Linked DNA regions of Drosophila melanogaster. The protein of the gene in region 2 interacts with the protein of the main gene of each other region in a pairwise test. Each region holds a gene or a part of one and is shown on either strand. Other genes may lie near its edges. The genes, in order: kmr and Trpm.

Region 1 (5,144 bases), on a different chromosome or scaffold from region 2:
TGTATACAACCAACAACAGCAACAACAACAACAAACAAAGGCCAGACGAAATGCATGGCATAAACTTTGCCAACTTGGCTGGCTGCAATTGTAGTTTGTGATGTGGATGTGGATCTGGATGTTGCTCTTCCTGGTGGTTGGGGTTGATGTTGGGGCGGCTTTGATGGCATCAAAGTGAGCTTGTCGTTGTGCAGACAAATGTTACGTACTCTCGTCACACTCTTACGTATGCAAATGTCCCTTGCCATTGCCGGCGCAATGCTGCAGTGCGTCCTCCACAATTGACAATTGTTGAAAATGCAAATGGAAATGGAAATGCCAAGACATGTGCCCAACAGCCACACCAGCAATTCATACATATGCCATGGATAATGGATACTGGGCGCACTGGAGGTGTGTTGGGGGTGGCATGCGGCGCATTGAGGTAAAGACAAATGCAAAGGCGTTGTCTCTACTATCATCATCCGGCGACGACATCTCCTCAGATAAGATAAACGATGGCAAAGTCAACAGCAACAACTGGTTGGCTACGAAATGCACTGCAAGAAAATGCAATGAAGTATGCTAAATACACTTGGCATGAATTTAATCTATTGCTATTGTTGAAAAGTGTGAAATGAATATTCTTAACCAGTGTCTTACATAACATTTCTGTATTTTGTTGTATTATAAAACGAAATACAAATAGTTTAATCAAATTTAATTATATAATATTATTTTATTATTACTTTTTGATATGAGTACTTGACATTTTTCTGAGTGCATGTGGGAGAGGTCAGTGTAAATAAGTAAATACGACATTCGTAGCCCAGAGCAGGCCGAAATAAATTCTCAAGTGCAAATGAGGTAAATGACAAGAGGTACGAAACCATCATAACCTCTGACCTGCCACCGATCCCCCCTCCACCAACGAGCGACCCATAAACGCCCACTTTGCCGAGCATTTGACAGTCGAGAGCAAACATGTCCAAGATGAACATCCATTTTGCATTTGGGAAATGAAAAGCGGGAAAGCTACAACTGACGTACATACTAGCATACTAGCAGACAGCTTGTCTATGCAGCAGGCCATCGCCATCCAATCCATCTGGGCGTGCAAATGTATCTGTATCTGCTATCCAGTATCTGGCGCTCGTATCTATTCCGCCTGTCGTCTCGTCCGCCTTTTGCAGCTTCATCAAATATTTAGCGCCAGGCAGGCGGCTTTATCTCGAGGGAACTGGAAGGAGGGACAAATAAGCGCATTCATTGTGTTCGTTCAGTGTAAATACGAAACGGATGTAGCACTGCTTGGAAAATAACAACTTTGTAAACTTAAGAGCCTAACTCGACTAGTTTGGTACTGTAGAAATATGAAAAAAAGGAAAAACTATTGTACACAGCTATTTGTAAATATCCTCGATGGATAAATTTATATAAAAAAGTTAAGACTTAAGACATACTGTGTACCTTTATTCAAACTAAAACATTTATACCATATATAATAGATACCAAGAATATTCCAGAGATTTCTCTTGATATAGAATTTCTGAATTTCTGAATGAATGGCGTTGTTTTATGTGCAGCTTCTTTTTGGTAATTTCATCGATTTACCAATTTATCACTTTCCTGCGGGCAATCACTTGTTTTGTTAGTTTTCCTTGAGTACTTTTGTCCACTGCACTTAATAGCATCGTTTTAAAATGTGAAAAGGGAAAAGTTTGCGAGCTGTCCAATCACTAATGAATTAAACAAACATTGAGGGCATCGACGTTATTTCTCGTTGAAACGCAAATTTAATAAACCACCCACACCTATGAAAAAACCACCGAAACGCAATATACCCCTGCAGCAGATGCTATCTGGAGAGCAGTCCGAACTACCCTAGTCAAAATGGAAAATTGGGAGTGTGGGGCAGTGCCAACGACCAGCCAAAAAGCCGGCAACAACAAACGCCCGCGCTGTACCACGCCGGCAACATGTTGCGTGTTGCTGCCGTGCGAGCAACATTGCAATGTTTGCACTCGCGTGTGTCGGTGTGTGTGCGTGTTGTTTATCTCGCTGCCACTTGAAATGTTGCCAAGAAGCCGGCCAGCAACATTAGCAGCATTTCGAAAACTTGTTTTCAACGTAGTTGGGTTTAGTTTACTTTGAGACGGCGACGCAGGTGGACGTGTCCGAGTGCGAGCGAAAGAGAGCGATAAACGCGAGCGGACCGCGTTATAAAATATTACAAAAACAACAACAACAACAACGCCAACAAGAGCTCAGTTCATTTCAGTGTTTGTCTTTAGTTTTATGGCGCACGCTGCGCGTCAGGTAGTTTTTCAGTTGTATATATGTACGTATGTACATATAATGTTTTTTTGTGATTCGTCTCGCGGCAATGTTTTATGGCTGACAAAACCATCGAGCGTGTAAAGGTTTTGCACTAACCGTACGACGAAAAAGAGGAAAAAAAAAAGAAGTGATGTACATTCTACGAGTAGATGTAAAGTGCTAGTGTTTACCCTTTTTTGCCGGGATTACTCATCATCGCATCGGCGCATCATCGACACCATCATTATCATTCGTTTACTAGCGGGCAACTTTACGAAATCCCAAAAAACCAGTATCGCTGTGCCCAAGTATCTGCAAGATACGTGAGGCAGTCCAGACCACATATTGGAATTTACTTAACACGTATGCAACACGCACCCATACCAGTTAACATCGAGCGGGACCCATTGGATTTTGGAACCGAAAACTACAGGGTAGGTAAAATCGCTTGTAAATCGGGGTTTCTTCTCGAGAAAAACAAGAGACGCGAAGCAAACACTCACACACTTGACCAGCTGCGTTTTTCCACCCTCACCATAAAACCTAATGATTCCGAACTACCTGTTTTTGGATTGACCCTGGTTTTCCCATTAGCCGCCAGAGGAGATTTCACTGCACCAGCGCATACCATATAGTCCATATATCGGAAAGCTGTGCGGCTATTTATAAATCTAGATACCCTGCGTTTTGGGGCCCAGGCTCAAATCCGGTTTTCCATACCCATATATCCCCCAGCCCAGCCCAGCCATCAATTCAATTTCTACTGGCTGAGTGAGTTTTTAACTCACAGAAGAATCTCCATCTCCAGGTCGAGCATCTTCTTCGCTGAAGATTTCTGAAGAGAGCTGGTTTCTTCGGGCCGTTTTCTTTTCCCTCGCTTTGTTTTCTTTCGTTTCGTTTTCGTTTTTTACTATTTGCCCGATCGTCGTGGTGATCATGATGCTGTGGCTTATTGCCGCCAAGATTTTTTCCACTTTTTTTTTTTTATGATTTTGCTTTTTGCCGATTGAAGGTGCATGGCCTTATTTACCCAGTTTCCAAATCGCTCACCGATTTCTGCTTATTCTGTTTTGGGCTTTGTTTTGAGGTATTTGCTGAATCACACGGGGATCATTTGAATCTTTTAGCCAGACAGTCACTGTGTGGAATTGCGATTGGGATTTTATTTGAGAGTCACACCCAGTCCGTGGCGAATGAGCTAGTATCCCGCTCCGGAATTGACTCACGGCCAAACAATGCGACATGCGGCGAAGTGCTGTGGGGCCACGCTGGCTTGGGCAAAAGAGAAAAAATCAAAAATGCAAAACTTGTTGCTAATAAACAACAATTACAGCAAAAGCAAAAACAAGTTCAGCTAACCACAAAAATGCTGGCAGCTAAACTCTAGACTCGTTGCCCAGGAGCTCCGCCGCACTCCACTACACTCCACTCACCAAAACAAGTCGGTGTATGGAGCCATTTTCTGATGTTGCTGGCTCACACTACTGGCCATTCGCCACCAGCAACAACCAACAGCAACACCAACAACCAACAGCAGCAACACCAAGAGCAACAGCAACATCGGCAATTTGTTGTTGCTGCACTGGAAAAAAGGTGCTCAAGGAACGGACATAATGTTAACATTTTAAAAGCCAATTCACTTCTAAATCAGACCACATTATGGTCCTTTTATTGACCATAAAGTGTAGCCAAATGAAGAGAAATGCTGAGCCCCTTCTCTGGAATTTGGCTCAGTGCATGTGTAAATTTTTGTCGCCATGTGAAGACCATAAAAAGCGGCCAAGTGGCCAGCTGCCTCAGCTTTCCTCTGGAAGCCACAGAGCAACCACAGAGAACGTCCATAACTGTGTCAGTGTGCAACTAGAAGAGGTCTAAGCCTATTAAGCACACTGGCTTAAGATCGGCCTATGCCAGGAGGTAATACCCGTAGCTCCAAAGCGATTAAGTGTAATTAATGCCGACAGGTGTCACTGAATTGGCGCAAGCTCAAAGAGATTGAAATGCCCTAATTGGAGGCTCCAATTAGGAGATATTCTCCCCACTTTCGACACTTCAAAGTGCGAGATTTCCACTAGTTGCTCTCTTTATTCACGTGATTAGCATGTGTGCCGTTCCTGATCATCATGTCACTGCCCAGTCTATCCGGTCTATTCCACCTCCTCCTGACTACGGCGGACGCACCTGGTGACCTTGCGCTTGAATTCCGCATAATTCTCCCGGTACTCCTTGGCCGCATCCACATTGGCGGCCGACTCGTCATTGGGATCGGTGAGCATGGAGATAACGGAAAGAAGGATCGTCTCCACGGTGTGGACCGGTAGCCAGCGCTCCTCGGCCTTCTCGTAGCCCCACTTATCGTCACCAGGTTCGTGGAGGATCGAGATGCAAACGTCGCCGGCCTTGTCAATATTGGGATGCCAGATTTCGGTGATGAACTTCATCTTGGGCGGGCGCAGTGGGTACTCTTTGGGGAAGATCAGGTGAGCCTTGAAGAAGCCGCCCTCGTATAGCGTATCTGGGGGACCGATGATCACCACCTCCCATTTGAAGATGTCGGAGTCGCTGACCAGACCGGCGGAGAAGCCCTCGACGGGATGGCGTTGTAATTCGGAGAGCTGGCGATTGAGCAGTAGCGATGCTTGCAGTTCGGACATGTCACTGGACTTGGGGGGGATAAGCACCATCAGTGGGATAAGCCATTTAAGTACAATCACATTTGTACTTACTGGAATTTTGTTCAATTGTTTCGAGTCACTTTCTGGTTTACTTCTACGGAGGCTGAACTACGCTCAATGCGACCTGTCAGCTTGCCGAGAGAAAACTCATGCTGCGACTACTTCGATCTA
Region 2 (5,225 bases):
AAACGAAGATAGTGTTAATAAAATAATGTTTACTAGCCTTATAAAAATTTTTATTTTTCATTTCATTTTTGAGTGACTCTGGGATTTCTTTAATTTTATTTTTATTACTTAATATAATTACTTAATTAATATTATTTTTGTATTTTATATTATTTATTTTTTCAAGAACGCAAAAGAAGCTTAAGAAACTTCACATAGAGCGGTATTAATAGATTTTTGACCGACAGTGTTGACTAAATAATTTCAACAGTGTCATTCATTTTTTATCTCCTAAAATCACCATCTCTATATTCGATTAGTTTGGCTATCGACTTATCTCCAAACGATATTTTTGAGCACTACGCAGCTCTGACGCACATCTGCGAAATGTTTATTTACAAAACGAGTTAGCATCATTATTGTCAAAAATGAATTCTCAAAACGAATTGCATCCAAATTGGCTGGCTCTAACAACATTGCCACTCCAACTGAAGCGATTCGTCCGAGCAGGAGATCCGGATTTTATCGCCGAGTCCCCGAAAGCAGTAAAGCACCAAATCGATGGCTTAAACGGAGCAGAAGCTCGTGAGTTCTACAAGGAGGTGTTGGATGCGCCCACAACCTGCCAACCTAACCTTCCAAGTACCCACAAAACTGCACAAACAAGAAGAGAGCCAGAAAGGATCCTAGTCCCCTTCGACAAAAGCAAATTTTTCCGTTTGGCCACTAGCAACAAAGTAGAGGAGCTGTCTCAAATGAAGGCCTCAGAAGAGGATTTAAATTCTCGGGATTCCTTTGGCTGGACTGCCTTGATGATGGCTGCCTGTGAAGGAGCCACGGAGGCAGTGAGTTGGCTCGTGCAGAGAGGGGTCCAAGTAGAGACCTCAGACAAATCCGGAAACACAGCTCTGAAACTGGCCCAACGAAAAGGTCACTTAGATGTAGTTCATCTTTTGGAATCCCTACCCATTTTAGAGGAAACTAGCGAAGAGGATGAGTCAGTTGATGGCAACAACCCCTTTTACTGTGAAATCTGTAAGAGGGACTACAAAGAAACCCCCTGGCCAATTCATCAAACATCCACAGTGCATCAGTTCAATCTAAAGGCTCTGCCCGCTCATAAGCTCCACAAATTTAACATATCTGCCAAAAATCGAGGACTCCAGCTGATGGTGAAACAGGGCTGGGACCAGGAGCACGGATTGGGACCGAGTCAAAGTGGGCGATTGTATCCCGTCAAGACTGTTCTTCGAAAGCAACGCACTGGACTGGGAATTGAACAGCAGTCGGCAAGGGTCTCCCACTTTGGTGCCTTCGATTTAAACGCTGTTAGGAGAAGGGATCCCATATATCAGCCGAGAAGGACGCGAAGCGATATGCAGAGGGAAAAGGTGCGCGAATGGAAGCGAGAACGGTACCTCCGCAGGGTACTAAGTTAAAGATGGCTTACAGAGAAAGCTAACAAGAATTGTACTATAAATTATAAATGGAGCCAGCCTAAGATGTTTTTTAAGAGCAAAATAATAAATTTAATTATTAATAATGGTGATTTATGAATAGTAGATTTATAAATTTCTCATTAGAAGGAATACAATATTAGTTATTCCTTCTTAAGAGGTACCCAATAAAACAACTGATGTTCAGCCGTACCCAAATTATATTATAAATTATATATGAAATTATTGAGTACAACAACATGGACTAGCACACTTACTTAAAAATTTAAACAATTTTTTGAAACTCTATTTAAAGTTGAAATTTTGTTTCGAAAGTTGGACGAGGGAATCACTTGCTAAATACACAAATTGTTAGGTTTATACGCACAAATTAAGCAACATATTAGTAAAAACACATAGTACACACCTGAAGAATGACTATTAATTTTAAATGTGATGGATTTAGGCCTTGTGATTGAAAATATATTTATTTTTGTAAGCACTAAAAACAGAAACAACCGATGGAAAGTGCTTTATGTTTGCAACAGCTGTTAATTTTTAACATTGGACTGTTAATTTACATTTGCGAAACTTCCAATTGGAACATTGGAATATTTCTGAGAGAGAAAATAGTGAAAACGGTATATAAGGAACTTCTCCGAATTCCTGCGCTCAGTCGTATTCGGACTGTTGTACCGTGAGGTCGTTCCCGTCTTTTTATACCGCGGAGTGCAATAAAACTAAGTAAGCAGTGCGTGTTTTAAAGTTCTACTCGCATGCTCGGCAATTAAAAGTGAAAAAGTGGGAGTGCGCCCACAAGGTCACCAACAGCAGTCGTTTCCCTTAGGTAAACAGCTAAAAAAGTGAAGCATTAAAGTGTCTGGAAAACCGTTGCTCGACGGCAAAGTAATTTCTAGATTCAAATGATTGAATTCCGAATTTTGATGCGGTGGCAACCCTGGCGGCCGATCAACAAGAACAGCTGATTGGTCTGAGTGTGTATGTGTTTGTGTGTGACAGCGTTTTTGCGGCGGAGCGTCGCTCCAATTTGTTGTTGGTTCTCCAACATGTGCGGTTCGCTTGGCGCATTTAAATATTTTTTAAAATAATTAACAATTGTGTCGACGTTTTGCTGCTTAACCGTTATCGTGTGTGTACCAGTGTTTTTTTGTGATTCGTGTGAGCCGTATCCCGTTCCCCGGTAAACCCCAAAAAACGCGCAGTTTCAAATTACGCAGAGCTGGCAAGAAGTGCAATTATTTTTGAATAATTAAACTAAATAGGGTGGCCATGTGATTGCATCGTGTGTGATAACAAAACGCTTACAAAGTCATCGCCGTAACACATTTACTCCCACGGACTCTGCAGGAATAGAAAAACTATATTGTTTAATATGCGCTCTGATGTTCAGTGGGCTTTATGGTTTATTTTCGTAGCATTTATTTTGGTGATTTGTTTAGTTTTGCATTGAACAATGTACATATAATTCGGTTCTCTCCGCTCCGCTCTCTCTTTCTCTTTATGTGGTGCCCTCTCGCTCATTGATCGACATTGCCAGCATCCCCTCGATTTTTCCAACCCCCACCTCTCTCCCCTTCGATCAGGGCCCCCTCATGAACTTGCTTTGTTGTTGGGGTCTACCAGGGGCGGATCTAAATCGTGAATCTTGGGGAGAGTAGTACCCTTAAAAAAAAATCAATCCATTGAGGCATTAACTTTTGTACTGCTTAAGAGATATAGCAAGCTATTATCCATAAACTGTAAAATAATTCAAGTTTTGGGATAAAGATTATCCCTTTGGTGCAACAGAAACTATTTCTTTTGGATTTCAGATCTTATACATGATTTACTATAAACAGTTTTTGTGACAGTGAAAATGTAAGGCTTGGAAGGAACCGATTTCAATGACACCATTGACTTCTTTGATTTCATACATGATCTACATGGGGGGTAGTATATTTAAAAAAAAGTTCCCCTCTAATATTGTCCCGCCTCTGGACCGGACCTTACACGGCATTTCTTTCCCATTAACCCCATTCGATTCTATTATTTAGACAACACAATGCTATAACCAGTCAAGTGAGGCGAGGGTGGGGCGAAAGAAACCAGAAAAAACGGAATAGAATATTTTTATTATCTCAACGATTCCCTGGAATGCTGCGAATGTATTATATGCTTGCAAAATTTACACTATTCAAAAGTAAAATGGGCTGAGAGTCATCAAATATATTCAATAGTTGCCATTATGTTTTTCGTAGAACTGAAATATTGTTTACATAATAAATATGCAAATGTTTTAGTTATTAAAAAGCTGAGACTTTAATATTTTTTTGACAAAACTACACTGTTTTTCTTAGTTTTATCACAATAATCCAGCCAGTATAATAACAATTGGAGGTTCTGTGTAGAAGTTCAACTGAATGAGCAGCACAAGGCCAAGCGAATCCCATTTACTTCAGTGCTTGGGTGGAAAAAAATCTCGTAAATCTTTAAAATCGTAAACCAAACAAATGCACAAGAGCCGAAATGAAAATGCTAAATGTTTATTATTGTAAAATAAACCAAGAGAGGCGGCCCGAAGAGCACAGAAATGAGATAAATGAAATGCCAAAACTTCCGGGTCATTGCCTGAGCGCAATGGCAATGCCAATGGCATAAGTAGTCCATTTTTCCATTCTGGGGAAGAGTAGCTCGGCTTTTTGAGGGCCCTTTAATTTCCATTTGGCTTTTTGCCCCCTAACTAGAGCCAAATATCTGGTAGTAGTTAAAGTGAATTGCAATCAAACGAACTAAACAAACACTCGGATATTATATTATGTGAAAATTCCTAATTGCCAAACACCTGAAATTCATCGCGTATACCCTTCGATTGTTTACGCAATACCCAGCCAACAAAATTTTGCGGAGACCGACATAATAACCATTAAAGCAATTACAACAATTATAAACAACAATATCGAAATGAGCAATACAAAACGCATGAACTTGAAAAACAAATTTAAGCATGCTTGATCCAATATTCAGGAGCCCCCAGAGCAACAGCACCAACAACAGCAGCATCCGCATTTTCCCTCATTCAGCATCAAGTATACGGAGAGACAAGTATTTCTGCTCCAGCGTTTTCCATCTGGCCGCGTTTTCCGACTCTACTAAGTGTTTTCCCAGGTAAGACCGTCGAGATAAATGCAAATTACTTTGCAGGACTTTAGTGAGCGTTTGTGCAAAAGCATATCCTATTCACACCGAATCAATTTAAAGAAAAAAGTTTAAATATGGAGTGAAAATTATGGGACATTAGATAGTAAATAAATTAATGATTTTCATTCCATTTTAATACTTAATATCGGTTTAAATCTAATAATATAAAGATTAGTCATGGAAATTATTTGTAATTATTTAATTGTCTTACTGCGTTGCATGTACCTTTGAAGGTTAAAATATCTAAGCGCTTTAAATTCCTAAATAGGCGCACAATTTTTCTATCTTTAAGATTTCCAAGTGGAATGCAAATATTGTTGAGATGTACGAGTGTGTGTAATTGGCAGGACGATGGTTGGCATAAATCTCTCACCTGCAGGAATTTTCTAATATCGCGAAGGTGTTGCATACCAAACGGTGCTTGAAATGAGCAATTTGCGAAAACTTTCGGCATAAATTGTTGCCCAAAATCTCCATCCCCTCAAGCGACGCCTCTGGCTGTGAGTGTGTCAGTGGCAGGACGAAAGGCAAAAAATTAACAAAAATTAGGCCTGAAGTTTGTTGGCAAGCTCGCAAATGTGTTGTGGCTTAAAGGGATAAAGAGCTTTGCGT

What was found.
Region 1: the proteins of Trpm (region 2) and kmr interact in a two-hybrid assay, tested with the Drosophila melanogaster proteins (one large-scale study listed by BioGRID).

The regions. Positions count from the first base shown.
Region 1 is NT_033777.3:13,713,088-13,718,231, forward strand, and holds the start of kmr (kramer), read left to right. Parts: upstream 1-2,119; 5' UTR 2,120-2,732; intron 2,733-4,366; exon of another isoform or gene 4,367-4,445; coding exon of another isoform or gene 4,446-4,952; exon of another isoform or gene 4,953-4,961; intron 4,962-5,024; exon of another isoform or gene 5,025-5,089; intron 5,090-5,144. Other genes in the region: Ubc87F (ubiquitin conjugating enzyme 87F), read right to left, coding at 4,446-4,952.
Region 2 is NT_033778.4:15,306,233-15,311,457, reverse strand, and holds the start of Trpm (transient receptor potential cation channel, subfamily M), read left to right. Parts: upstream 1-2,089; 5' UTR 2,090-2,262; intron 2,263-2,460; exon of another isoform or gene 2,461-2,616; intron 2,617-4,159; 5' UTR 4,160-4,580; intron 4,581-5,225. Other genes in the region: CG8152 (uncharacterized protein), read left to right, coding at 408-1,418. UniProt on the Drosophila melanogaster protein: Calcium channel mediating constitutive calcium ion entry.